Linked DNA regions of Pelodiscus sinensis. The protein of the gene in region 1 interacts with the protein of each later gene in a pairwise test. Links are inferred from orthologs where the notes say so. Each region holds a gene or a part of one and is shown in the gene's direction. Other genes may lie near its edges.

What was found. The genes of interacting proteins can lie anywhere in the genome.
Region 2: the proteins of TXLNA (region 1) and STMN2 interact in binary tests that used the Homo sapiens proteins (3 or more experiments, as listed by UniProt). The two-hybrid records come from large-scale screens. The link is inferred for Pelodiscus sinensis from reciprocal best matches to the Homo sapiens genes TXLNA and STMN2.
Region 3: the proteins of TXLNA (region 1) and WASHC3 interact in binary tests that used the Homo sapiens proteins (3 or more experiments, as listed by UniProt). The two-hybrid records come from large-scale screens. The link is inferred for Pelodiscus sinensis from reciprocal best matches to the Homo sapiens genes TXLNA and WASHC3.

The regions. Positions count from the first base shown.
Region 1 is NC_134735.1:3,556,305-3,564,648, forward strand, and holds the start of TXLNA (alpha-taxilin), read left to right. Parts: upstream 1-4,739; 5' UTR 4,740-4,899; intron 4,900-7,454; 5' UTR 7,455-7,482; coding exon 7,483-7,702; intron 7,703-8,344. UniProt on the Homo sapiens protein: May be involved in intracellular vesicle traffic and potentially in calcium-dependent exocytosis in neuroendocrine cells.
Region 2 is NC_134712.1:49,858,245-49,866,414, reverse strand, and holds the start of STMN2 (stathmin-2), read left to right. Parts: upstream 1-4,876; 5' UTR 4,877-5,027; coding exon 5,028-5,046; intron 5,047-8,170. UniProt on the Homo sapiens protein: Regulator of microtubule stability. When phosphorylated by MAPK8, stabilizes microtubules and consequently controls neurite length in cortical neurons.
Region 3 is NC_134711.1:99,545,026-99,553,215, forward strand, and holds the start of WASHC3 (WASH complex subunit 3), read left to right. Parts: upstream 1-4,896; 5' UTR 4,897-5,044; coding exon 5,045-5,299; intron 5,300-8,190. UniProt on the Homo sapiens protein: Acts as a component of the WASH core complex that functions as a nucleation-promoting factor (NPF) at the surface of endosomes, where it recruits and activates the Arp2/3 complex to induce actin polymerization, playing a key role in the fission of tubules that serve as transport intermediates during endosome sorting.

The DNA.
Region 1 (8,344 bases):
AGAGCAAATAAGCTGTCTGTATCATGTGAACTTGATTTTTGAGACGTAGACATCCTCTTTCCATTTTAAGGTTTAAGTCTGTACTTGATGTTTTACACAATACACACCTGTACTCAAACATGCAGCAGCTGTCTGACACAGAAGTAGTGTGGTGACTTTGAAAAGATCCCTAAAGTAGGTAGAGCTCCATCTGAATCCTACTTTCCTTCATTAGAGGTGCAGATCTAGTTCTGTAGTAAACCTGGATTCCTGCTTGCCATTTCACTGTGTAATACATGGGAGGATAAATGAAAGGTACACTCTTTAATTTTTTTTACCAGCACAGGTCTATGCAAACTCCAAAACTAAATGAAATATGTCTTAAATATAAGATCTGGCCTTCTGGGACTAGTGTAATGAGAAGGGATATGTGTAGCTAGAGGTCTGACTAGTGAACTGGATAAAAGACTATTAGAGTGAATAGTATTTTGTAAATTTTCCTCATCTTCTCTGGATCCCTCCTTGGAACAATCCAGGAACCTTAAGAACTTAAGGGGTTTTTAAAGGAAACTTATAGGCCTTAGGACTGGCAATTAAAAGGCTTATTCTGCTGCAGTAACTGTTTTAAGCACTAACTCATATGAAACAAACCTTTGGTGTGGAACTGGTACTATGTCCTTAACACCCCACCGCTTTAATCAGTTCATGGTTGGGTTGTTATGCAGCCACTAGTGAGCATGGCACAAATGGGAGGAACAGTATACAGCTGTTTATCCAGTTCAAATCTGGGAACAGGAGTTCAGGCTATAGTCCCATCAACAGCCAAGAGTGATTCAACCTACTTTAAAAAAAGAAACCCAAACATTTCTTTCATAAAAGCTGAACAATCCTGGCTATTTCTCCAATGTGTGGCCCTTTGGAGGTACATTATAGCTGTACCTGGGTTGGTAGGCCTTGTGAGGATACACACTTGCTTTTAGTGTGATGTGTACAGATAAAAGATATCTATACACATTGACTTGAAAATGTATCTAAGTTGCCAACACTGTAATAGATACAAGATGCAAAATAAAAAGTCTGTTCCAAAGCTGACCTAGGTGCTCAAATCTGTCTGGATTATTTTTAGTGTCAATTGGGTGATCCTAGCAGCAGCATTGAAATATACCAGCAGGGTGCTCACATATGAACAGAACATCCCAGTGCTAAAGCATGTACACCGGCAGCCCTGCATGGACGCAATTTATATCCACATTGCAAAAATGAGCTGCAGATATTTGCAAGGTTCTAGATACAAAACTTGTTTTCATATTGTGCTACAGCCATGAATGTGAATAGCTGTGGTTATACAGTGGATATCCATGGATTTGCTGGGCTCTTACACCCAATATATTGGTAAATATAATAAATTGGTAAACTGGTTTGGAAACATGAATAAGGAAAAGTTATTCCTACAATAGAAGAACTAGGGGGCATCAAATTAATAGGTTTAAAACAAATGGAAGTTTTTCCTTCTCTCACCGTACAGTCAACGTGTGGAACTACTTGCCAGAGGATGCGGTGATGACCAGGACTTTAACAGTGTCCCAAAAAGATACATTCATGGAGGTTAGGTCCATCAATGGCTATTAGCCAGGATGGGTAAGAATATCCCCTAGCCTCTGTTTCTCTAGAGGTAGGTGACAGGAGAGAGATCACCTGTTGTGATTCCTCCCTCTGGGGCAGATGGTATTGGCCACTGTCAGCAGACACACTATTCTGTTCATAAATGCATAGCTAAATGCTAGGAAAACTCTCCAAAAGCTTTGATGGTGGATTGCTTGGAAATGTGTAAATTCAACATGGGGGAAAGACCACTTTGCTGGGCAAGCACAATTTGAACTGTGCCAGCCCAGGCCTCATCTACTGCTATATGGGATCATTCTATTATGCCCATTTCACTCTTTCCTCCAGAGGAGAAAAATGTACTAATCGAAGCGGTCTTCAAATTCTACGTTGTCCTTTTCACTCAGCTGGGACTGCAGATGCAGCTAAAGGTCTAAGCGCTCCTAGCTGTAAATCAGTGGTAGCAGGGCTAGTTTGAGGTTAAATGCTACTTTAACTAGCCTGTCTCCCATACTATTGTGTATGGCAGGTAGGCAGCACTGTGGAAAGGGAGAAAGAAGGTCCCTGTCAATATACCTACATTTTAAACTACTTAATTCATTCTCAGGGAGATTTAATTAGAACAGCACAATGCATATACTGTACTGTTGACCATACTGGAGACTACCCAGACCAGCAGTAATTAATCCATGAGTTAGCTGTAATTTGCTAAGTGCTGGGACTGCAGTTTTCTTTGAGCCCAGTAGAACTTCAGTAATGAACAGACAAATCAACCATATACTAGAGATGTGAATGTGTACCCAAGTACACAGTTAGGGCCAGGCTCATCAGTTAACTCTGCTGCCTACACACAGCTCCCCCTGCATGTTAACATGTAACCACTGAAAGTTACAGCAGTTACATATTTACACAAATGCATTTTAACATACCTACCATACACATCATTTGGAATTGGAAAGATACAATCAGGCAGCAGGGAGAGGAAGCAAATACATGTATTAAATGAACTACCAAAAAAAGTTTTAAAAAACATTGACAAGGAAACTACTTTCATTGAAAGACAGTCAAAATATTTTTCTTCTGGAAAGTGCAGTTTCAAAGCTGTATTAAGTTCAGTTGTAAACCTTTAAAAACAACCCTGTTTTGTTCAGACTTATGAACCTCCATTCCTGAGCTATTTGTAACTGTGAGTTTCTACTGTAGGGTATGATACACAACTTCCTCCAGACAAAATGTGACCCTCTATTATCCTCTTGTTTACTTTTGCTTGAGTAAGCAGTATGGTGCAGCCAGACCTGTTCCTTTGGTTTGTGGGGATCCAAGTGTGCAATTCAGCCTACTACTATTGCAGACTCAACCTGTAAAAGGTGAGGAATATGATTTCCACCATAACTAATGGTATAGTTCCCCATTTGTAGGAAAGGTGCAGCTATTCCCTAAACACCTTAACAGCCACTTGAGTAATTCAAACTTACTTTGTGAAGTAGCTAAGGCTATAAAAGGCCAAAGGAGTACGTCTGGGCTGTTTCCACTAGGCCAGTTTCTTGACTTGAGCCCTGGCCTTCTCTTGCTCCAGACTCAGACTGCCCCTCTAGTGGCTGTGCAGCTTAGGGAACTTGAATCTATATTGGGGTGTAGGTAAATTCTAAGGTGACAGGCTAGCCCCTGCTATCCTCCACCTACCTTGGACTAGCCCTCTTACTTGTGAAAAATGTCAACAAAAGAAAGCTACCACTGCTGCTCCCTAAAGTGGGTGGGGGTAGAGACTATGGTTCAAAGTCATGGCAATAGTTAGGCTAATGCATGTAGCTGTTGCTCCTCTCAGCTTTCTTTTCACCATCCCCAACCCTGGCTAGTGCCTCCCTGGCAGGAATGTAAAATCCCATTTAATCTGTTAACCAATTAAATGTTTGGTTAAACCAGTTAAGTGACTGAGTTGGATCCTGGGTGAGGGCCCACTTCAGCTGGGCTGGAGCAGCCCGTGGGGCTGCCAACTCTGCTGGCCTAGCCCATGACACAGTGGGCCTATGAGCCTGGAACAGCTGCCCACCTGCGAGCGGGAGGCTGCTCCTGGACACTGGTTAACTGTTAGCCAGTGGGCTTCAGCCTTATCGCGTATTGCCTATTTGGTAACCAGTTACCTGTTCACACCCTTACACTCTGCCCCTCTCCTCACAGCTCCCCCTGGAGATAGTAGCTCCCACCCCCGGGGCTAGTGCCTCCCTGGCCCCCCTCCTAACAGCTTCCCCCTCTCCCCCCCCCCCGGGCTAGTGCCTCCCTGGCCCCCCTCCTCACAGCTTCCCCCTCCCCCCTGGCTATTGCCTCCCTGCCCCCCTCTCCTCACAGCTCCCCCCCTGGGGCTAGTGCCTCCCTGGGCCCCCCTCCTCACAGCTTCCCCCTCCCCCCTGGCTATTGCCTCCCTGCCCCCCTCTCCTCACAGCTCTCCCCCCCCCCAGGGCTAGTGCCTCCCTGGCCCCCCTTACCCCCGGGCTAGTGCCTCCCTGCTCCCCTCACAGCTTCCGCCCCCCGCCAGGCTAGTGCCTCCCTGCCCCCCCCCCTCAAACCCTCCCCCCAGGGCTAGTGCCTCCCTGGCCCCCCTCCCCCCGGGCTAGTGCCTCCCTGCCCCCCTCTCCTCACAGCTTCCCCCCCCCCTGCCGGGCTAGTGCCTCCCTGCCCCCCCCTCAAACTCCCCCCCCGGGCTAGTGCCTCCCTGGCCCCCTCACAGCTTCCCCCCCCCCTGCCAGGCTAGTGCCTCCCTGCCCCCCTCTCCTCACAGCTTCCCCCCCCCTGCCGGGCTAGTGCCTCCCTGCCCCCCCCTCAAACTCCCCCCCCCCGGGCTAGTGCCTCCCTGCCCCCCTCTCCTCACAGCTTCCCCCCCCCCCCCTGCCGGGCTAGTGCCTCCCTGGCCCCCTCCTCACAGCTTCCCCCCCCCCGCGTTGCCCTTCTCGCGTTGCACGCCGGGAGCTGGATTGTCGCCCCCTGGCGCGTTGCACGCTGGGCCCTGTAGTCGCCCGGGCTGCCCGCCTCGACCGCCGCCGCTCAGCGGTATTTCCCGGCAGGCCCCGCGCCGCCCCGCTCGCGGATTGGTTGGCGGAGCCGGCGGATGACGGCGCATGCGCACTCTGTACCCGCTCAGCGGCCCGGGCTGGAGGCTGCTGCCGCTGGGCCCTTCGCAGAGCTCGGCGCTGAGGAGGAGCCGCGGGGAGCGGGGACCGCATGCAGGGGAGCTCGCCCCTCTGCCGGAGTGCGGCCGGCGGGCGCTACGGATTGGCGGAGGCGAGAGAGCCACGTCAAGCTTCTCGGCGGTGACGTCACGCGGTACGTGAGTGACGTCACTGCAGTGGGGGGAGGGGCATAGGGGTGTGAATGGGGGAGGTGGAGGGGCAGGAGGGAGCGGGACGGGGTGTGAATTGGGGCAGGGCAGCATAGGGGTGTGAATGGGGCCGGGGAGGGAGCAGCATAGGGGTGTGAATGGGGCCGGGGAGGGAGCAGCATAGGGGTGTGACTTGGGGCAGAGGCAGCACAGGGTGTGAATTGGGGAAGGGCAGCATAGGGGTGTGAATGGGGCCGGGGAGGGAGCAGCATAGGGGTGTGAATTGGGGCAGAGGCAGCATAGGGGTGTGAATTGGGGCAGGGGGAGAAGGGAGCGGCATGGGGTGTGAATTGGGGCAGGGGAGCAACATGGGTGTGAACGAGGCTGGGAGGGCAGGGGATGTATGAATGTGAATGAGGCAGTTGGGGGTGTGACTGGGTAGTGTCAGATGGTATTGTACGGCTGGGTGCTGTGGGAGTGCAGGTGAGGGCAGGGAAATGTGGGGAATCATGGGTACCTAGCAGCTTAGGAGATAGATAGGGACAATCGTGCACAGCTCTGTGGGGACTGGCACTTGCAGAGGATGCAGAGGCAGTGGAGCCTGTGGAGTTGGGTGGAGCACAAGAGCACACATTGGGCAGTGTAGGGATGTGTACAATTCATGGGATGCCACAGGGAGATGGAGCATTCATAGGGATGAGCTGACAAAGGGGCTGTACGCAATGTGGGAAATCAGTGCTGCTAAGCCTGTATGTGAGAGAGAGGTACATATTAGGGGTGTAAATTCTAGATTAATCAGTTAACTGATTAAATGGTAGGTTAACCTAATGTTTAACCGGTTATCTGACTAAGCAGGATCCTGGGCTAGGGGCTGCCAGATGCAGGGGAGGCCACAGGTTACGGGGGGAGGGGGCTGCTCCCAGGTAACTGGTTACCCACTCACATTCCTAGTACATTTTGGTGTCTGTGTAAGAATAGTTGACATGCTTGCCTTGGCCCCCGTTACTTTTAACTTCCGTCCCTGGCTTCATAAAGCTGATTGTGCCCTGAGTTGCTCTCTGAGAAGAAGCATAGACTTAATTGTGTGTAGCTATGCTCAAATTTGGGACAAAATGTTTCTTTCATCAAATAATTCTGTGGGGGATCCAGATTGTCCTGGGACAGCTACGCTGCCTTTGTTTCATAATTGTGAGTGTCTCTGAAATGGGATAGAAATGTAGCCGTGTTAGTCTGGTGTAGCTGAAACAAAATACAGGACTATATAGCACTTTAAAGACTAACAAGATGGTTTATTAGATGATGAGCTTTCGTGGGCCAGACCCACGTCCTCAGATCAAATAGTGGAAGAAAATAGTCACAACCATATATACCAAAGGATACAATCAAAAAAATGAACCCATATGAAAAGGACAAATCACATTTCAGAACAGAGGGGGGATGCGGGGGGGGGGGGGGGGAAAGGAAGGTAAATGCCTGTGAGTTAATGATTTGTCCTTTTCATATGGGTTCATTTTTTTTAAATTGTATCCTTTGGTATATATGGTTGTGACTATTTTCTTCCACTATTTGATCTGAGGAAGTGGGTCTGGCCCACGAACGCTCATCATCTAATAAACCATCTTGTTAGTCTTTAAAGTGCTACATAGTCCTGTATTTTGTTTCTGAAATGGGAGACTGCAGAGTTGCTGCAGCATTTGCTTTTCCTGTTATCTGAGTGGTGAATGAGGGATATGGGTAAAATAATGAAAGAGAGTATATTTCTGGAAGGGTGTGAAATGGAAAGAAGCTGGAATTTGGCCTGTGTGTGTCAGTTCTGTTTCATGGAGATAATTGGTAAATCTTTTTGTTGCTGACTACCAGCTCTTCCTAGAAACTACATGCTTTCCCTCTTAGCCTGGTGTTTTAAGAGAAGCTGGCCCTTCTCCTATCTTGAGGATCCTGAGTCAAGATTTTGGCTTCTGTCCATCCCTCCCAGGCTAGGAGAGTCTGTGTGCTTAGTAAAAGCAATGCATTCAACACTAGAGAGGGAAGTTCTCGTGTCAGTCTGCAGGGGCCCTTCTAGGCTAATGCTGGACTCCATTTCCTGGTGTTTTATGGAATGAAATGTTCTGAGAGCAAAGCATTAAGTGAAGGGTGGAGTGGTGGGTCCATCAGAAGACTGTAATCTACAGAATACAGAGGTGACAGAGCCATTTACTCTATGTGGGTTTGGGAGTTACTGGCTTGGCTCCAAAGGAAGCTGTCTCTAGCCACCCTGGAGGAACAGCTATCCTGACATGGAGCCCTTTATGGTGAGGGGGATAGCTTACAGATGTGGGAGGAAGGGTGCGTTTACTTTCCAACAACAGAATGGAGTTAACAAAGCTTCTATTGAGTACGAGGCAGCATCTGAGTCTTACGACTAGCCGTGGATGGAGAGGCTCAATGAAGAACCTTGTTCTCTCAGTTGTGAATGTTTCAATCCCTGTTGATTTCACCTAGCAATGAGTATGTTGTAGGATGCTGACTTCTGCTAAAATCCTGTTACAACTAAACCCAGGTGACGTTTCTCTTTCACCAGGGTTTGAGACGGAGTGGGAAGAAGAGACATGATGAAGGACCAAGGTGGGGAAGACAAAGCTGCCCTGCTGCCTGCTGGTCTTCCCAAAATGAACAGCAATCTGGTGCTAGACGAAGGCGACTTAGCTGAGGCTGCAGCACCCCCTGAAGCTGGGGAACCCCCAAGCCAGTCCAGGACTTGCAGCTCTGAGCCATCTGCTGATGGCAATGCTGAGAGCCTGACTAGTGAGGTGCAGGATAAAGATGAGGGTATGTTTCAGCGTTGAGCTTGAAGGGCCATGCCTGCAGAGAGGCTGTGGCTTTCTCTCTAGGGTGGCTGTTGTAACTAATTTCCATTCGCTCAAGTGTGGGAGGCCTGTGGCTTTAGGAGCAGATTGCTGGGTTTTAGGTGCATGCAAGGCCTTGTGTGCACCGTCTCGGAGTAATACCCATGTGTACGGGATGGCGGGTACAAAGATGTGAACATGCCCCCACCACTGTTTCTCAGTTGGTTGTATTGAATGACTTACTGTTCACCCTAGGGATGTAAGAGAGTAGTCGAATACTTGACTACTTGATAAGCCCAGGCTTTCTCGACTGTTCTACTTGCATTCTCCCCATGCCCAAAGACCAGGGACAAGCCAGCTGCTCTGGGGGTGGCTCAATCACAGCTCCATTCTCTGCCTGTCCCACACGCTGGGCTGTTCCGGGAGCCTCGCTCACGCACAGCAGGTGGGGAAGCGGCCAGTGCTGCCCGGCACTGGACCAGGAGCCAAGGACCGAAGCCCAGGCAGGCAGAGTGCAGTGGCCAGGCAAGCTTGGCACTCCCAGGCTGGCCTCAGGGAGATGCAGGCTCGCTGCATTGGCTGGGCTGGCAGCGCTCCGTGGGTGGGTTTCCTGAAGTGAGCCAGG
Region 2 (8,170 bases), on another chromosome or scaffold:
GGGAATGGAGAAGTGTCCCAGGGATGGCTGACCTCATGGCAGCTGAGGAAATGGAGGTTGGGTGTGCAGCACATTGCAACTCGGATCTCTACTGACTCACAGACCTGGCTGGTGTGTTATTGTCCAAATCCCTGCTGACCCAGTGGCTGCCATGTTGCCACTGTCAGGGCCCTGGGCTAGGTTGCAGTGGAATGGGTGCGCCTCAGCTGACAGATTCCCCCTGTGGGGGCAAAACACCTGCACTTGTTGGCTCTCTGCCAGCTAGGAGACCTGACCTCTGCCCGGCTAGGACCCAGCCAGAGCTTTAAACTGCTATTGAACCACCCCTGGTAAACCTTTGTCTTTCTGTCCCACCCTGACTCAGAGCTGGGCCTTATAAATTGCTTGGTTATAGACTGTGACATTGCAATTCCCCCTTTAATGAGCAATAGCGGGAGTCAGCACTGCCTCCCACTGATGTGGACCCATTGTTACACAACTGCAACAACTTGCATACAAAGCATAACTTTTCCATTGCCACCTCACATGATAAAATCTACTACGTGTGGTTATCCTGGTTAAATCCATGTATTATCTTTCTAACTGGAATTATGAATATTAGCTATGTATCTGTATCTCAAACATATGTTTTATGCCAGGGTGACACCCCCCCCCCCCAGATAGATATATAATTAGAGTTAGACAGCTATGTGTGGATGGCCCACTAAGGCCTCTCAGCTCACAATTTGCTATAGAAGACACTCATCCCATCCAGTAGAACTTTTTTGTGACTGATTAAAAGATAAAAAGTCTCAGAGGGGGTAGCCATGTTAATCTGTAACTTTAAAAACAACTAGTTGTCCTGTAGCACTTTAGCAACTAACAAATAGATAGATAGATAGATAGATAGATAGATAGATAGATAGATAGATAGATAGATAGATAGATAGATAGATAGATAGATAGATTAGATATAGCATTATGAGCTTTTGTGGGCAAACCCCACTTCATCAGATGCTTCCAGCTCATCTGAGGAAGTGGGTTTTGCTCATGAAAGCTCATGATACTATACATTTTTGTTAGTCTGTAAGGTGCCACAGGACAACTCACTGTTATTAAAAGATAGAAAACAAAGGGTAGGAATGAAGCGTCCATTTTCACAATGGACAGAGGAGAACACCAGGGTCCTTAAGATCTGTACTGGGACCTGTGCTGTTCCCAGCACTGGCAAGGCAAAGGACTTAATATAAATCTCTTCCATTTTTAGCACTTCTCTAGAACTGGTATTCTTCAAAGTGCTATATAAACATTTATCTGCTCAGTCCCACCCAGAGGCACAATTATTATTGCTGCTGACAGCTAGGGAAAATGAAGAAAGAGGTTCAAAGACTTTGCCAAGGTCACAGAAGAGCCAGGACCAGAGTTCCTCCTTCACCCCATGCTTCTCCAGCCCTTTGGAGGGAATTAAGGATGGCATTCATAAATCAATTCAGACTGTATTCATAAATCAGGTTGCAGCTGTGAGTTCAACAACACACATATACCACAACATCATACAGGAGCTTCAGTCATCCCCATCCTTTGGCAATAAAGTTCCCCTGAAAGAGAAGATCAAGCTTGACTTTTCTGGGAAACCACATTTGCTTCTAAAAGCCCCCTTGAACTCACCAGACCAGGGCTGTGGATCTGAAATGATATATGGAGTGTCTGATCCCTACTCCCTAGCAATAAGTGTTTTGTCAAGTGCCGGAGGTGGCATCGATTTTCATGTAGTTTCTTGGGCACGTTTCTCGGCAAAGAAATCGCTCTAGTGCCCAGTGCCTCCCTCCTCCTATGGGGAGAGACAGCTTTTCTTCCCAGGCCTGACAATACAGGAAGGGGGCTGCTTTTCTGCAACATGAATTGGCTCAGAAATAGAAAGGGGGAGGAGGGAGGGATCTGCCTGAACGGCAGCTGAGAGCAAAAGCTTCCTCGATTTGGCTCCTCATCTATCCCTGCGGATGGGGGAGGGAGAGGCAGGGGCTGGCTCTGAGCTCTTCTCTCTCTATGTCTCAGCTGATGGTGGCCGGAGAAAAAAAAGACACCAGCAGCCCCGCCCTCAGCTACTCATCAGCTGCACCATTCTCACCCTCCTTTGCAAATCACACTGCGTGGGCCCCTCTCTCCCTTCTGGGAGGGACCATGGGTTCCTCCGGGGGGAGAGCTTTGGGGTGGGGTGACCCGGGGGCAGCAGACGGGTGTGTCCGTCGCCGCCTGGAATGAAAAGCAGCGGCCGAGCTGCGCGGTGCCAAGCCAGCGGCACTCGGCAGATCGCTGCTGTGCTGGGCAGGGGGCTTGGCGAGCAAAGCCTCGGAGCAGCCATTAACCTGCAGTTCCCCCGACAGACGCAAAAGCACCTCCCGCCTGCTCTGCGCGGCTCCCCTTTCCCAAAGCCACGGTCCCCTCCTGGCTGGACAAAGCTGATCCAACCCAGGAGCGGAGCTGGCTTCGGGAGCACTGCGGGAGCCCGGAGGTTGAGGGGCTAGTCAGAGGGCAGGCTCCCTCCAGGCAATGCAGCCAGACAGCTGAGAGCGGCGGGGTGCCCTGGCGGGGGAGGGGGCGCAGGCTAACCCCAATGAGCCTGTGAGCTGGGGATGCCCCGCTCTTGCTTGTTATAAACTTGACAAGGGGCAGAAACAAACCCCGATGGATCCAGGCTCCGCATTCAGCCCCGGCGTGGCTGGGGCCGTCTGCAGGAGAGCTAAGCAAGTGCATTGATCTGCGGAGCATCTCGCCTCCTCCCCCGCCTCATCTGCTGCAGCGGATCGGAACGGCCCTGGATCCAGCTGGGCCTGCAATATGGGGGAGGGGAGGATGCGAGGAGCTATCGCTCAGTCCTCGCAAGGCCCAGAGAAGTTTCAGCACCCTGGAGAGCTCCCGGCTCCTTCCCGAAACGTCTGGTTGGTGGCCCAGATGAAAGGAGAAGACTTACCCTAGTCTGGGGAGTTTAGCTACAGTGGGAGTGTCTGGCTAGGTCCCTTCGGGAGGTTCCCCCAGGTCAGCCCGGCGCCTTCCCTAGCTCCAGCCTCGCAGTTGCCCCGCAGGAGCAGCAACCCCTGGTACATCCATCCCAGCTTCTCCTTGCCCCAGTACCATCCCCCATTTCATTCACACACCCGCCAGCTGTCCCCTCCTCCCCAAACCGCCCCCCTGCTCCTCCGCCCACAACGGACTGGACCTTGTAACCCACTCACAGGGGCGTGGGAATCCGGGGCCATTTCCCTGCCATTTGTGTAGCTGAGTAGTCCTGTGTGGGGCAGTCTGGGAACTAAACTCTTCACCTCACCCCAGCAAGCCACCTCACGAGCTCAGCTCCAGCGGGCAACAGACTAAAGCCCTCTTGGCAGCTCACCTCAAAGAGCCTGGACGCTGCAATAGGCGCACCCTGATGCGGTTACACGCACCCCACACCCTACAGGCTGCATTTCTCCGCGTGCATGTGGCTTCCCCTCCCCAGCCTCCTTCCAGCCCTCTGCTCTCGTTAACACAAACCAGCCACCCTGCAGATGGAGACGGACAAGGAGAAAGGTGGCCATAGCGTGCTGTCATAAGGGAGGCTGCCTTTCTTGGCACAACCAACCGCACTGGAAAGCGATGCTGGGATCACAAGGATCACTGAGCTGTGGCAAATGTGAGAGAGAATGGTACAGCTGGAGGAAGGAGAAAAGTACTCTTGGCCTAGCACGCTCTGGAAGCCTATGGTGGCAATGGACATATGAAACAGACAGACAGACGCCTTAGAATGGTTCTTCCTCCCCACCTTTGTTACCCCTAAATAGAAATGCGCCAGATGCCTACATCTATCTGTGCTGTAATACTTATCTCTAAGCTTTTTTTTCTGGGCAAAACTGAAGATACATTCTCTGGAAGAGGAAGTCCAGTAGTAATTAGATAAATGCAATAGTAAAGGATGATAAGATAACCTATTCACCCCTCCATCCCATGCTATGCTCTGTACACTGCTTACTCCTGGGCAGAGGCTTGCTTCCAACTAGAACATATATTAGGGTTCCAACATATTTCAACCCAGAGCTTCAGATGACTTTCAGATTTCTCTTAATTTGTTTCCAGCCAAATCACTGCCCTTCCCCTAAAGACAATGAAGGAAAACCTTTCTCTCCCAAAGATGATAAATACCTTATAATGCCTCAAGCCCCAGGCAACCCTTTTTGGGGTGATGTTTGAGTAGTCACTCATATTCCACACTCTTTTGCCAAGCAAGTCAGGTTAATTTCCATTGTTGTTTTGATGGTGCCTCAGAGAGGTGGCCAGTGTGGTAATGAAATAATAATTGTCACACTGAGACTGCTTTGCATTTTCTGGAGCACTTTGCACATATTAATTAGGGTCACTGTCACCCTCTAGGCTTTACCACTGAATGTATCATCGATAGATGAGTCTGAAAAATAAAATAAAAAATACTGAAATGCAAGAATTTGCTGTACAAGCATCTGTGTGTGCTGCAATAGCCAATGTACAGTAATGCCAGAGGCAGACTAATGAAAACTACAGTTATGCTGAAATGGCTCAGAAAACTTCTGAATTATTTCTCCCTTTGTCATATTGGTGTTAAAATGCGCTAAAAAAATGCATCTGTGCGTATTTTCCAGGTAGCAACAGGAGAGCTTTCAACCCCAATAGGCTTTTCATGTAAGACATAAAACATTTGACATGGACTGTACTATTAAAACTAAAGAGAGGGGGGAGAGGCATTCAAGGACTGATTTCCATTTCAAACTCCATTCTGGCACTTTGTACTCCAGTACCATTGGTGGATCAATATTTAATGCTTGGAGATTCTAGCTCCGCAGGAGTCATGTCAGGGGACCTCTGGAGCCAATCTGCTTGAGTAGAGGAGTGATAATTATTCATGGGCTCCTGCCTCTTGCTCCTTCTCTTGCACAGCCCCACGCTGCTGACTCAGTGCCTTATTCAGTCTTCTCTCTCTCCACTGCTGTAGCTGGACCCCTTTGCCTTCACAGCCTCTGAGAATCTGCATCCATCCCACCATGGCTAAAACAGCAATGGGTAAGAAATCGCATCTCTTTTTCTTCAGCCAATGCATCAGCCACTATTTCCTAGGACCAGCAGCGGTCTTGGGTGCTCCCTTAAGAGGCCTTAATGGCTAAGACAATGTTACATCTTTTTGTTTTGTGTTTTTATTTAAAAAAAAAACTGGGAGCGGGCTGGGAGCCGGGGGCTTTTTTGAAGTCTTCGCCTGAGATCTGGTGGCTGGTTGCTCTTGGGTGATATGGGCAAGTAAGCTGAACACTCATTTCAAAGGGAGTTATTTGATTTGATAAAAGGGTGGGGTGGGGAGTTAGTGACACACCAAAAAGTGACCTTGCCTATTCTGAAATATGGTGTGTGGGCGCTACTTTAAAAGCCCCCTTATCGCCAGGTCTCCAGCTAGGGCTCTCTCTTCATTTCAGCTCTCTCTTGTGTGTGATATTGTTTCAAAGCTAACCCCTTGCGAAGTGAAACTGACGCGTTTCGTGGCTGAAAATGGAAGACCCCTCCCTGTCCCTGGCGCCAGGCTTCAGAGGGAGACTTTTCTCTTTTGCTAATTCAATAAATAACCCCGTCGCCTCGCAGAGAACGGGCCCGCCCTTTGTTTTAAGGAGGGGGTGACATTGGGTTTCTTTGTGTAACACTGCGCACCGCTGCTCCCGGAGTTCCTGGGGAGAGGGCACCTGCAGCGCTCAGCGCCACGGACTCCAGCCGCCCAGCACAATGCAGGCAGACAGACCCCACCCATACGGCTGCTGCTGCTGTCTCCGCACGGGCACGCCCAGGGAGCCTGGCCCAGCGCACAGGCAGCCTTCCCATCCCCTCAGACAGGAAACAGCAGGGGGGAGGGGATGGCAAGGCTGAGGCTGCGGGCCTCCACCCCTAGGAGAGCAACCCCCCAGCTGCTTGTCAAAGAGCCACCTCAAGCCTGGAACCTCGCTCCTGGCTGCCCCGGGAAAGTAGGGCGCTGGGCAACTGAGGTACCCAACTACCGTATTTTCTGTAGGTAACCGCAGCTTCTCTGCTCATCCTCAGTCCCGTGCTGTGGCCTCGCTTCCAGCGGGTGCGGTTTTTACTTTGTCCCACTGGCGCCCAGGCAAACGGGCTGTGGCTTCAGCAGCCCCACCCAACTAGCGCGCTGCTCTGCCGACTCGCCCACTCCCCGCGGGAGCTGAGGGGCGAGATGGCCAATGACTGCAGAGGCTCGGAGCCAGGACTGCAGCGCCAGACTATGGGGAGCATCCAGGTTTCTTAGCTGCTCCCCTGTCGTGCACCGCCTGGGGAAATCACCACGGCCCGGGGGCTAACATTAAGAGGCACGCGCAGGACATTCGCCCCCACCCCCTTTTGTTTCGCTGCTGGCGGTGAGCGGCTTTGTGGAGAAAATGGGTGGGACCAGCGGGTGCAGAAAGGAGCGGAAGGCATCAGCTCCCAGCCTGTTCTTTGCGAGGCTCTCCAGACTCCGTCTCACCAAATTCCTTCCTGCGCCCTTTGGAAAAGGGCGGGGGGAGGGGAGACCTGTGGAGGATGCTTGAGAAACCAGAGTTGCAAAATGCTTCCCTGCCAAACAGCAGCCACCCAGCCTATAAGCAAAGCAAAGGTTTAAACGCCTTTACCTGGCCGCTGGAAAGCAAGCCCCTGGACTCACTCCTGAACCGCTGGGGCAAAACGCCCGTTTCCGTTCTCCATCACTTGTCCAAAGAGAAGGTGAACGCGCCAGACACGAAGTCTGCGTTTAAAACCACCAGTGCTCTTCGCTTGATCTGCGAAATCAGCACGGGGTGGGCGGGTAAAGGCAGTCTAATCTGGCGTTGTCACGTCTAGGGAAAAGGCCTGGGACAGCTCTGTATGCAAACAGACAGACAAGGGCAGTGGGAGTCTAGCCAGCCCTGCAGTGCTGAGCCCGCCGTCCCCTCCCCGTTGCAGCAAGCTGGTAATCAGTATTGATAATTTGTAGTCAGTTGGAGACTGATCACTGCAGAAGGCACTGTTAGGAATTCTGTTGCCATAGAAGGAAGGGCTCTTCAGTCTGTGATTAATGGCCTTGGCCCTATTCAAATATAAAGGTTTCTGCAGCAGGGGAGGTGGTTGAAATCATTAGATTCACCCAGAGACTGACTAAATCTTCCCAGCCTATTAATTAGCTCCTGATTAGTGAGCCTCTTAGTTGTTCTCCCAAAGAAATACAGCTCTCTCTCTATATATAAAACTCCCTTAAAATATCGGTTGCATTGAAATTGAAGAATTTTTTTAACTGTTTGATTAGGTATTTAATAGCTTCTCTCTATAAACTTTCAAAAGAGTTATGGTTTTATTGTCCATGTCTCTAGACTTTACTTTTTATAGAAATTTGACTTTTGAAACTATTTAAAATATAACAGGGCCTTTTAGTCTATGCCAAGGGGTTGCTTCCATAGAAAAGTAATGCAAAAGGAATGTGTTTTCTTTAGCAAGTAAGCTTGGTTCTATCTGGAAAAAAAAACCAGACTTGCAAATTCCCAGTTGCTGATAAATAAGCCACATTGGTTCTGGACCAGAGCATGAAGCTTTTACGCACCTGTCCATTGAGGATTCACTATGTTTTTATCCCTTTTCTTCTGTAATTAATTCCTTTTTTAATTCCTTTCCTTACTACAAAGCACTAAATAAGGGCCAGATCATGTCAACACCTGAGTCAACAGCAAAACTCCCATCCACTTAATATGTGCTGGATCAAACTCCTCACAATGCTTATGGCCCCAGGCCAGCAAGGTACTGAATCCCATACCAAACTTTAAGCATGTGAATAGTCCTATCTACTCCAATGGAACTAACCATGATCTTAAAGTTAAGCACAGGCACAATATTCTGCAACATTAAAGTAACCCAGGACCTAATTCTGAACTCCTTACTCAATCAAAATTTCATGTAGAGTCCAACAGGAATTTTCACAAAGTGAAAAATTCAGGATATAAGCCCCCCGTATGTGTTTATTATTGGCCAATTAGATTGTAGTTATTTATTCCACATATGCACTAGATTTACTACAGTCTGACTTCACATAGGATTGCCGTTTCTTTTAATTTTGTCCTAAATTTTCTGAGCATATGTACAACAGACCTCAGGTGGCATGTGCCAGAATTTTGTCCAATGGCAAGGCCAG
Region 3 (8,190 bases), on another chromosome or scaffold:
CAAAGGAATGAGCTATTTCTTTTTGAACACTTGGGAAAACAACATATTGTACATTCCTGCATCGAGCCAAAGGCCTCTACACAAACACAATGGTGCTGAACGACACCAAAGATGCATTTCCAAAGTTCTGAAAACATCTGTGAGAATATTAGATATACAGCTTTTACTACCTTTTTAAAATTTCACAGGGGATAAAATATTAAGGAATCCAGCTGTTAACATTTGAATGAATCTGGCATTACAGCTTATACACATGATCACATAAATAATACCTTGTTAGAAGAATATTAAGTTTGCAGAAATAAAACACTCAAAAGTTCAGAATGCCAGAACTCAGATTGTGTGCAACCTCAGTGTGCCTCCCTTGTGAGTACATATTTTGTAACACTATTTATACAATCACATACTATTTTTTTCATGACATCCCTGCCATATTCAGTAAAAGGTAAGCTATTTGATATTTCTTTTTCTCCACATTCAATATGTGGACACAGGCCTTGTTACACACAGTCTACCCAAAGCCTGCCCTAACTAAAAAATTAATAATATGCTCTTAAACTGTGTTCTGGAGTTATTTGCTCAATAACTTTCCCCTGGACTTTTTTTTTGCTCAACAAAAAAATCCTTGGTGTTCCTCATAAAAAAAATTTTGTTCCTCAGTCTTAAAAAGTTTATGAAACACTGCTCTATAGTGTTCATCACTTTAGTTTCTGTTTCACGAATATTAACCAATATAGCTTCACAACCCCATTCTGAAGTAAGATGGTATTCTCCCTCTTATACAGCTAGGGATCTGGGAAGGTTGAAATTGCTACGTGTCCATTCCTTTTAAGTTCTCAAATTGAAATATCTAGGACATAGGTGACATGTAATGGAAATTGGGGAAGGTTAAGTTTCCCCAAATTTTGTATTCCTGCTAGGTTTGCAAACTTTCTAAATGCAAACCCTTGCCTTGTCCCTTGCCCCTTCTCTGAAATCCTGACTCTTCTCTGAGGCCCCACCTCTTACTTGTTCCATCCCCCTCCCTCCATCATTAATTCTCCCTCACCCACACTCACTCTCACCTGGCTGAGGCAGAGGGCTGAGTTGGGAGGGACGGCTCTGGGTGAGGATACAGGTGGGGGGTGGGGGGGAGAGAATGTGTGTGGCAGAAATGGAGGGTTCAGGATGCAGGAGCAAGCTCTGGGTTAGGGCAGGGGATTGAGGAATGGGAAGGGATGAAGTCTCCATCTAGGGGCGCAGGCTCTGGGGTAGGGGCCAGGAATGAGGGGTTTAAGGTGCAGATGAGGATGATAGCTCTGAAAGGGAGCTAGGATGTGGGAAGAAGTTTGGGGTGAGGCTCTGGCTGGGTGATACATACTTCAGGTGGTTCCCAGAAGTGCCAAAATGTTGTTCTGGATCCTAGGCAGAGGAGTGAGGAGGCACCACCCCCACAGCTCCCATTGGCCATGGTTCATTGTCAATAAGAGCTATGGAGCCAACGTTCAGGGGCAAAGGCAGTGCTGGACATGCTGGCTGTTTCCTGGAGATGCACTGAGCAAGGGCAGGCAGGGAGGCTGCCTCAGCACCACTGTGCTGCCAACTGTCCACATATCTATACAAATGACACCATTACAGGATCTAACCATGTAAGCCACAGCTTTGGGGGCTCATACACCTGCATATTAACTAATGTGATATATGCCAGCAATGACTCTGTCATGTATATTGGTCAAACCAGACAGTCTCTGCACCAACGGATAAATAGACACAAATCAGACATCAGGAATGGTAATACACATAAACCTGTAAGAAAACATTTTAACTTCTTTGGGTATTCAATAATGGATTTTAAAGTAGCCATCCTTATACAAAAGAATTTTATCACCTGATTACAGAGGGAGACTGCTGAACTGGAATTCATTTACAAGTTCAATGCTACCAACTTATGCTTCAATAAAGATCTTAACTGGTTAACACGCTACAAAGGCATTTTCCCCACTTTTGATATTTGCATCTACACATCAAATGCTGTGAATTAAACACATCCACCTTCACTTAATTAGTTTAGTTAACACTGGTCCTACAATTGACAGGTAACTTCTTTTGCTGTTATATATACCTCAAATTCTGTAATTTCATCTCCAATTTATCTGACCTAATAAATTCGTTAGTCTCTAAGGTGCCACAGGAATGCTCACTAGTCTGTAATTGTAAAAACAACACAGTTACCCCTCTGAGGCTACGTCTACACTGGCGCGTTCTCACGCAAAAACTCTTTTACGGAAGAGTTCTTGTGCAAAAACTCTTCCAGAAGAGAGAGTCTACACTGACGTGCTTTTGCACAAGAGATGTAAACGCTCTCTTGCGCAAGAAAGCTCTGATGGCCATTTTAGCCATCGGGCTTTCTTGCGCAAGAAATTCATGTTGCCTGTCTACACTGGCCTCTTGCGCAAGAACAGTTGTGCAAAAGGGCTTATTCCTGAGCGGGAGCATCAGAGTTCTGGTGCAAGAAGCCCTGATTTCATACATTAGAATGTCAGTTTACTTGTACAAGAACATGCGGCCAGTGTAGACAGGCAACAAGTTTTTACGCAAGAGTGGCCGCTTTTGTGCGAGATCGCGCCAGTGTAGACACAGACTGAGACTCATTACTTCCTTGTTCAAATACTGATGGTTTATGTTAGAGAGAGCATTTCATTGGGAGCTCATGTTCAGCTGGATGGAGTATCTAAATTCTTTACAAAGTCACTGCTTTTCAGGACTTACCTGAACCCTCTTTACTCTAGTTATGCAGAAGCTCTATGGGGAAAAATGAGTCAATTTTTTTCATATCCACCATTTTAAGCACCCAGCATTTAGAGGTGCTAAACCCTTGAGTATTCATAGTCACCTTTGAAAGATACATTAGATACATAACACAAAGGTAGCTCAATATATTTGATAAATATAGATACTGGGTGACTACTGTATATTTGAGAGTTTGTCTGTCTGTCTGTCTATTCATCTCTGTCTGTCTGTCTTCAAGAACTGCTCCTGAATGGTAAGAGATAAGACCACCAAATTCAGTATACAGCTTCCTCTTATCCTAACTTACAGCAAGGTAAGTGTTTGGATGTGCCTGGAATGAGATTGATTCTCATAAAACCATACAGAAAACAAACAATCACCAGACAGGTGAAAGGAGCTGACTGGGAGTGCACCCCGCTCCTCTGGGACTGCCCCAGCCCTGAGCCTCCCACTCCTCAGGGCATCCTTTGGAGGGGTGGCTAAAGCCTCCCCCTCTCCCCCCATGCATTCCTCCCCTACCCTCTGCAGGTAAATTTTTTAGCAGGCTGGCCAGCAGCCCAGCTCAGTCCTAGCTTGTGCCTAGTCCAGGACCTACCCTGCTGCAGCTTTGCATTAGATGTGTATTAGGAGCCAGGTGGGCAGGTAGCCTGGTTCAGTTCTAGTTCATGCCAGGTCCAGAAGCTCAGCCCCTCCCCTGGACAAAGCTGCTGCCACCCTGCGCTGCTGCTTCTGTATCAGAGGCAGTAGCACGGGGCAACAGGCAGCCGTTCCACAAGGGGAACTGGTTTTTTAAACTCTCTCCTTGTGGACCAGATCTCACCTGGCACCCCACGCTGCTGCCACTGATACAGAGGCAGCAGTATGGAGTGGCAGAGGGATCCTTGTGGGTGGGGAGGAGGCACATTAGCTTCCAGCCCCACACCCAGGGACTATAGAATAGTCGACTAACCGACAAGAATTCATGAGATTAATCGACTATTGAATTAACCAATATTTAACATCCCTAATGGGAACATTGCTGGCTGTTCCCCTTCATAAGGGAGTAAGGGGAAAGTACAATTTGCTGCATTCCTCCCTCTGGCTGGGGAGCACAGGGGGCAGATAAACCTAGTCCTGCCCCAGCCAGGAGACATGCAACCAGCCCCGGCTATATTTGTCAAATATATTGAGCTACCTCTTTGTGTTAGGTACTCCATGTATATTTAAAAATGACTATGAATGCTCCAGGACTTGGCACCTGTAAATGCTGAATGCATCCTGTTGAGGTGAGTGGGATTTAAACATGAGCCTAAAATTCACCATGTATGGAAGCACTTTGCTGAATAGGGATGGATCTCTGAACTGGGGCCTGTGCGCCTTTCCTCACTCCCCTTCACATAAAAAGCCTACTGTGTAGGTCCCTCCCTTGTAATTTCATGGCATTTGTGCAGCTGGAGTTATGGCTCATGGGGTTTTATTTATTTAACTCGTGCTCTTAAATGTGATGCTATGACTATTAAGAAGTTATTCAGTGGGAGCGTCAGAACAGCCTGGCAGGGCTGCGGAGCTGCGTCAGCAGTACACATTGTGGATTAATGCTGAAGAAATCCAGCGTGTCTCCTGGAATAGACAAGGGTTAAAAAATCCAAACCTGGAAGTGTGGCGCGCAACCTCTGGGGAGCGAGCGTGTGACCGCCCCGCAGGCAGTGGGCGCCGCAAGATGGCACTAAAGGGAAAAGCGTAGCAGGCACGTGGCGGGAGAGAACGCTGAAGCCCACTTTAAGAGTCAGAGCCAGCCGCTGCCCCTCCCGCCTACAATTCCCATGATGCAATGGGGGGGGGGATGAAGGGGGAAGGGCGTTTCCGCAGTCTCCGGTAGCGTGTGCGCAGGCGCCGGGACAATAGGCTAGTCTACCAGTCTCCGGACCTGCCCAGCCGAGCGGGTTTTGTATCCGGGGGGAGAGGTTAATCTCGGCTCGGAGTGCTGGCGGCTTCCGGGCGGGGCGGGCAGTGGTGACTTCGTTCCGCGTTTTCCCGCCGCGCCTCCCTGACTGGCCGCGGGGGATGGACGAGGACGGGCTGCCCCTCGTGGGCTCCGGCATCGACCTGACCAAGGTGCGGCCTCCCCACCCCCAGGCAGGGGGGGGGCCAGTCGCTCCCTCTTCCCCCCCCCCCCCAGGCGCGGGGGTTGGAAGAGACCCTGCCCCTGGGGCTGCTCCCCTCTGCCTCGCCTGTGGCCCCCGCGGGGTAGCCCCGCCCCCCAGCAGAGCGTTCCGGGGCTGTGTGACGCGGCTCGATGGCGGTTTCTCTTCTCTCGCTCCCCGCGGCGGGGGGGGGGGGGACAGTTGCGGCTCGATCCTCGCTTGTGAAGCCAGAGCCTGGGTCGGGGAGCTGCGCTGCGGTGTTTTGTGGCCGCGCAGCCGTCTCGCGCCCCTCGCCAGTGACGTCACGCTGGCCCCGAGCTCGTGTGTCTCCAGTTGGAAATCGCCGCCGCTGGCGCGTGGGCCGCTCATGGAACGCTGGGGCAAGTCGCCGGCGCGTGGTGGTGCAGGTGGGCCGCGGCCTCAGCGCTTCCCTCCTTCCCGGCCCTCTCCCTGGTGCTGCAGCCGCGCGCACCTTCCCTCCCCTGTGAGGTTGGAGTGACAGCGCTGGCTCCCTGCCGCGGGGAGGGTGGGAGAGGGGAGTGCCCTGAGCCGCCTAGGCTGGATCTGGCGCACATGGGTACGAAGTTGCTTTGTGCACTGCCACTCCCCCTCTCTCTTGCTGGGGGAATGGCAACATTGGAAATAGCTTGCCTGGAGGCTTTCCCTACTGCTCCCATTGGCCGGAATCCTGGCCAAAAATAGGAGTAGCGGGGGCAGTGCCTGAGAACAGTAGGAAGCATAGAGCCATGGAAGTGGCCCCGCCACCCCCTTCATTGCCCAGACTAGGGATGTTAAATATCAGTTAGTTGAATAACCTCATGAATTCTTCTTGCTTGGTCAACTATTCTATAGTCGCTGGGGCGGGACCAGAAGCTGTGCAGAGTGCCAGGCAGGACTATCCGTGAGGGGAGCCAGTTTAAAAACCAGTTCTGCTTGTGGACTGGCGGCTTGTAGCCCTGTGCTGCTGCCTCTGATAAAGAGACAAAAGTGCAGGGGGCGGTCTGAGCTCCCAGACCCAGCACGAACCAGAACTGAGTTGGGCTGCCTGTCTTCCTGGCTCCTACTACACTTTAAATGGAGAGCCACAGCAGTGGTCAGTCACAGACCCGGTGTGAGCCAGAACTGAGCTGGGCTGCTGGTCAACCTGCTAAAAGATTTACTGGTTGGGAGGGGAGGGAAATGCGTGTAGTCTATAGCGTTAACCTATAAGCTTTTGCTTATCAGTTAATTGACTACACTGTTACATTCTAGCCCAGACCCCTGCCCCTAGCCCAGGCCACTCCTGCCCCTCTCTCCTGCCCAGACCTCATACTTCCCACCCCCTTCTGCACCCATTTTGTATCATGGGTAGTTGGCTAGTGGTCCACAGAAAGGTTTGCATTGAGAGGGGTGGGCAGTGGGCCAAAAAGTTTGAGAACTACTGCTATAATGGCTGTCAGAGTGTTTGGGGAGCACAACTTCAAAGTGTCTTGTGTCATTGCTCTGAGCTCATTCCCAGCTAAAATCTGTGAGCTGAAGCAGTTCCTCCCAAGCTGGCAAAATCAGACCATTTCTGTTCTCTCTGCTCCTTTGCATTTGGTTTCCAGTGTACTTCTGTGTGATAGTTAGGTCTGTCCCTTGGGTATGGCAAGTTGAGACAACTACTCCTGCCCTTTGTGTGTGAATGTTGTGCAGTGCTCAGGCTTAATCTCTGGCAATAGCAGACATAGGCACCAACTCTGTGGGTGCTCTTAACCTAAGGCACTCAGAGGAAGAAAAAAAGTGTTGGGTGTTTGGCTAGTCCCTGTCAATGCCTCTTCTTCCTGCCCCCTACTGCCAGGCCCCTTGCAGCACCTACTGCCTGCCAGGAATCAGCTGTTTCAGGTTGTCAGGAGGTGCAAGGGAGAGGGGGCAAAACTGGTTAGGAAGAGGCAGGGTGGAGGTGGGGCACTGGGGAAGGAATGGAGTCAGGGCAAGACCTGGGCAGAGTCAGAAGGAGCATCCCTCTTCCCTCCCCTCCCCCCAGCAGATTAGAAATAGGCTGATTTTTTCCGGGCCCCCACACCCTACTAGGGACTGCCTTGGTGATATTTTAAAAACAAACAAAAAAAACCAACACTGTTTTTGTGAAAGGTAGTGACCATTAGTGATGTGCCTAAACAAACTTTCTAAACTTTAATTTTGTTATAAATAAATGAAAGTCCATTACAAACGTTCAGGCAATGCCTACACTGCCTTCTCTTGCGCAAGAGAATATGCAAATGAGCTGAAGTGGTGAATATTGCTGTGCCTCATTTGCATACTTAATGAGCTGCCATTTTGCGCATGGGGCTTTTGCACAAAAAGGAGATGTCTATACGGCTCCTTTTTGCACAAAAACCCCCTTGTGTGCAAGAGCCGTTCTTCCCAAAAAAAGCAGCAGACTGTCTCGTGCTCAAGAGGGGATTTTTGCACAAAAATGGTGGCTCATTAAGTATGCAAATGAGGTGTGGTGATATTCACCGCCTTTCCTCATTTGCATATTTTGCACAAGAGAGGGCAGTGTAGACATAGGCTAAGTGTCTTTTTAAGGGCAATTGAAGCCTAGCTTCTGAGTCACATACAGGTCAGGCATCTTATGTCACTACAGGTTGGACCTCCTTGGTCTGGCACCCTCAGGACCTGACTGGTTCAGGATGAGGGGTTTTGCTAGACATGGGGAGGTCATTTCACATCCCCCTGCCACTGACCCTCCCCCCAGCCCTGGCCTGGCCAGTGGTCTTAGCTGTCTCCATCGCTCCTCCCCAGACACACACACCTACTGCTGGCTTCCTGGTCCTGGCGGGTAGCCCTGCTGCCACCAGCCCTTTACCAGGACTCTGGTTTTGGAACATCCATTGTCCTGCCAGGATACAATGTTGCACTGTTTTAAGGCTCCCTATTTTAGGGCTCAAACCCATGTTTAGAGAGCATATGGGTGAGAAATCAATGGCCATTCCAAAAAAATCTGTGTTTAGTCAGAAGGGCTATAAAGTTGATACTACACAACCCCATTTAAAAGTTCAGAGTGTGTTTCTAATGTTTTATTTCTTGCTTGGTGTGAAACAGAACACTAAAATCAGTTATCTTTATGCCTCTTATTCCTCCTCCTATAATTAGTGGAACACGTCCCAGTCCAGTATTTATGGATTTCCCCATTCACAGTGATCTCAAGAATGTATCCCTTGGGAATGGAGCGGGCTTCCAGTAGTTCAAAAGCTTTTCTAATGTCTAACCTAACTCCCTTGCTCAAGATTAAGCCCATGTTTCTTTTTGTCTTGTCTTTTTGTTTTGTCAGCAA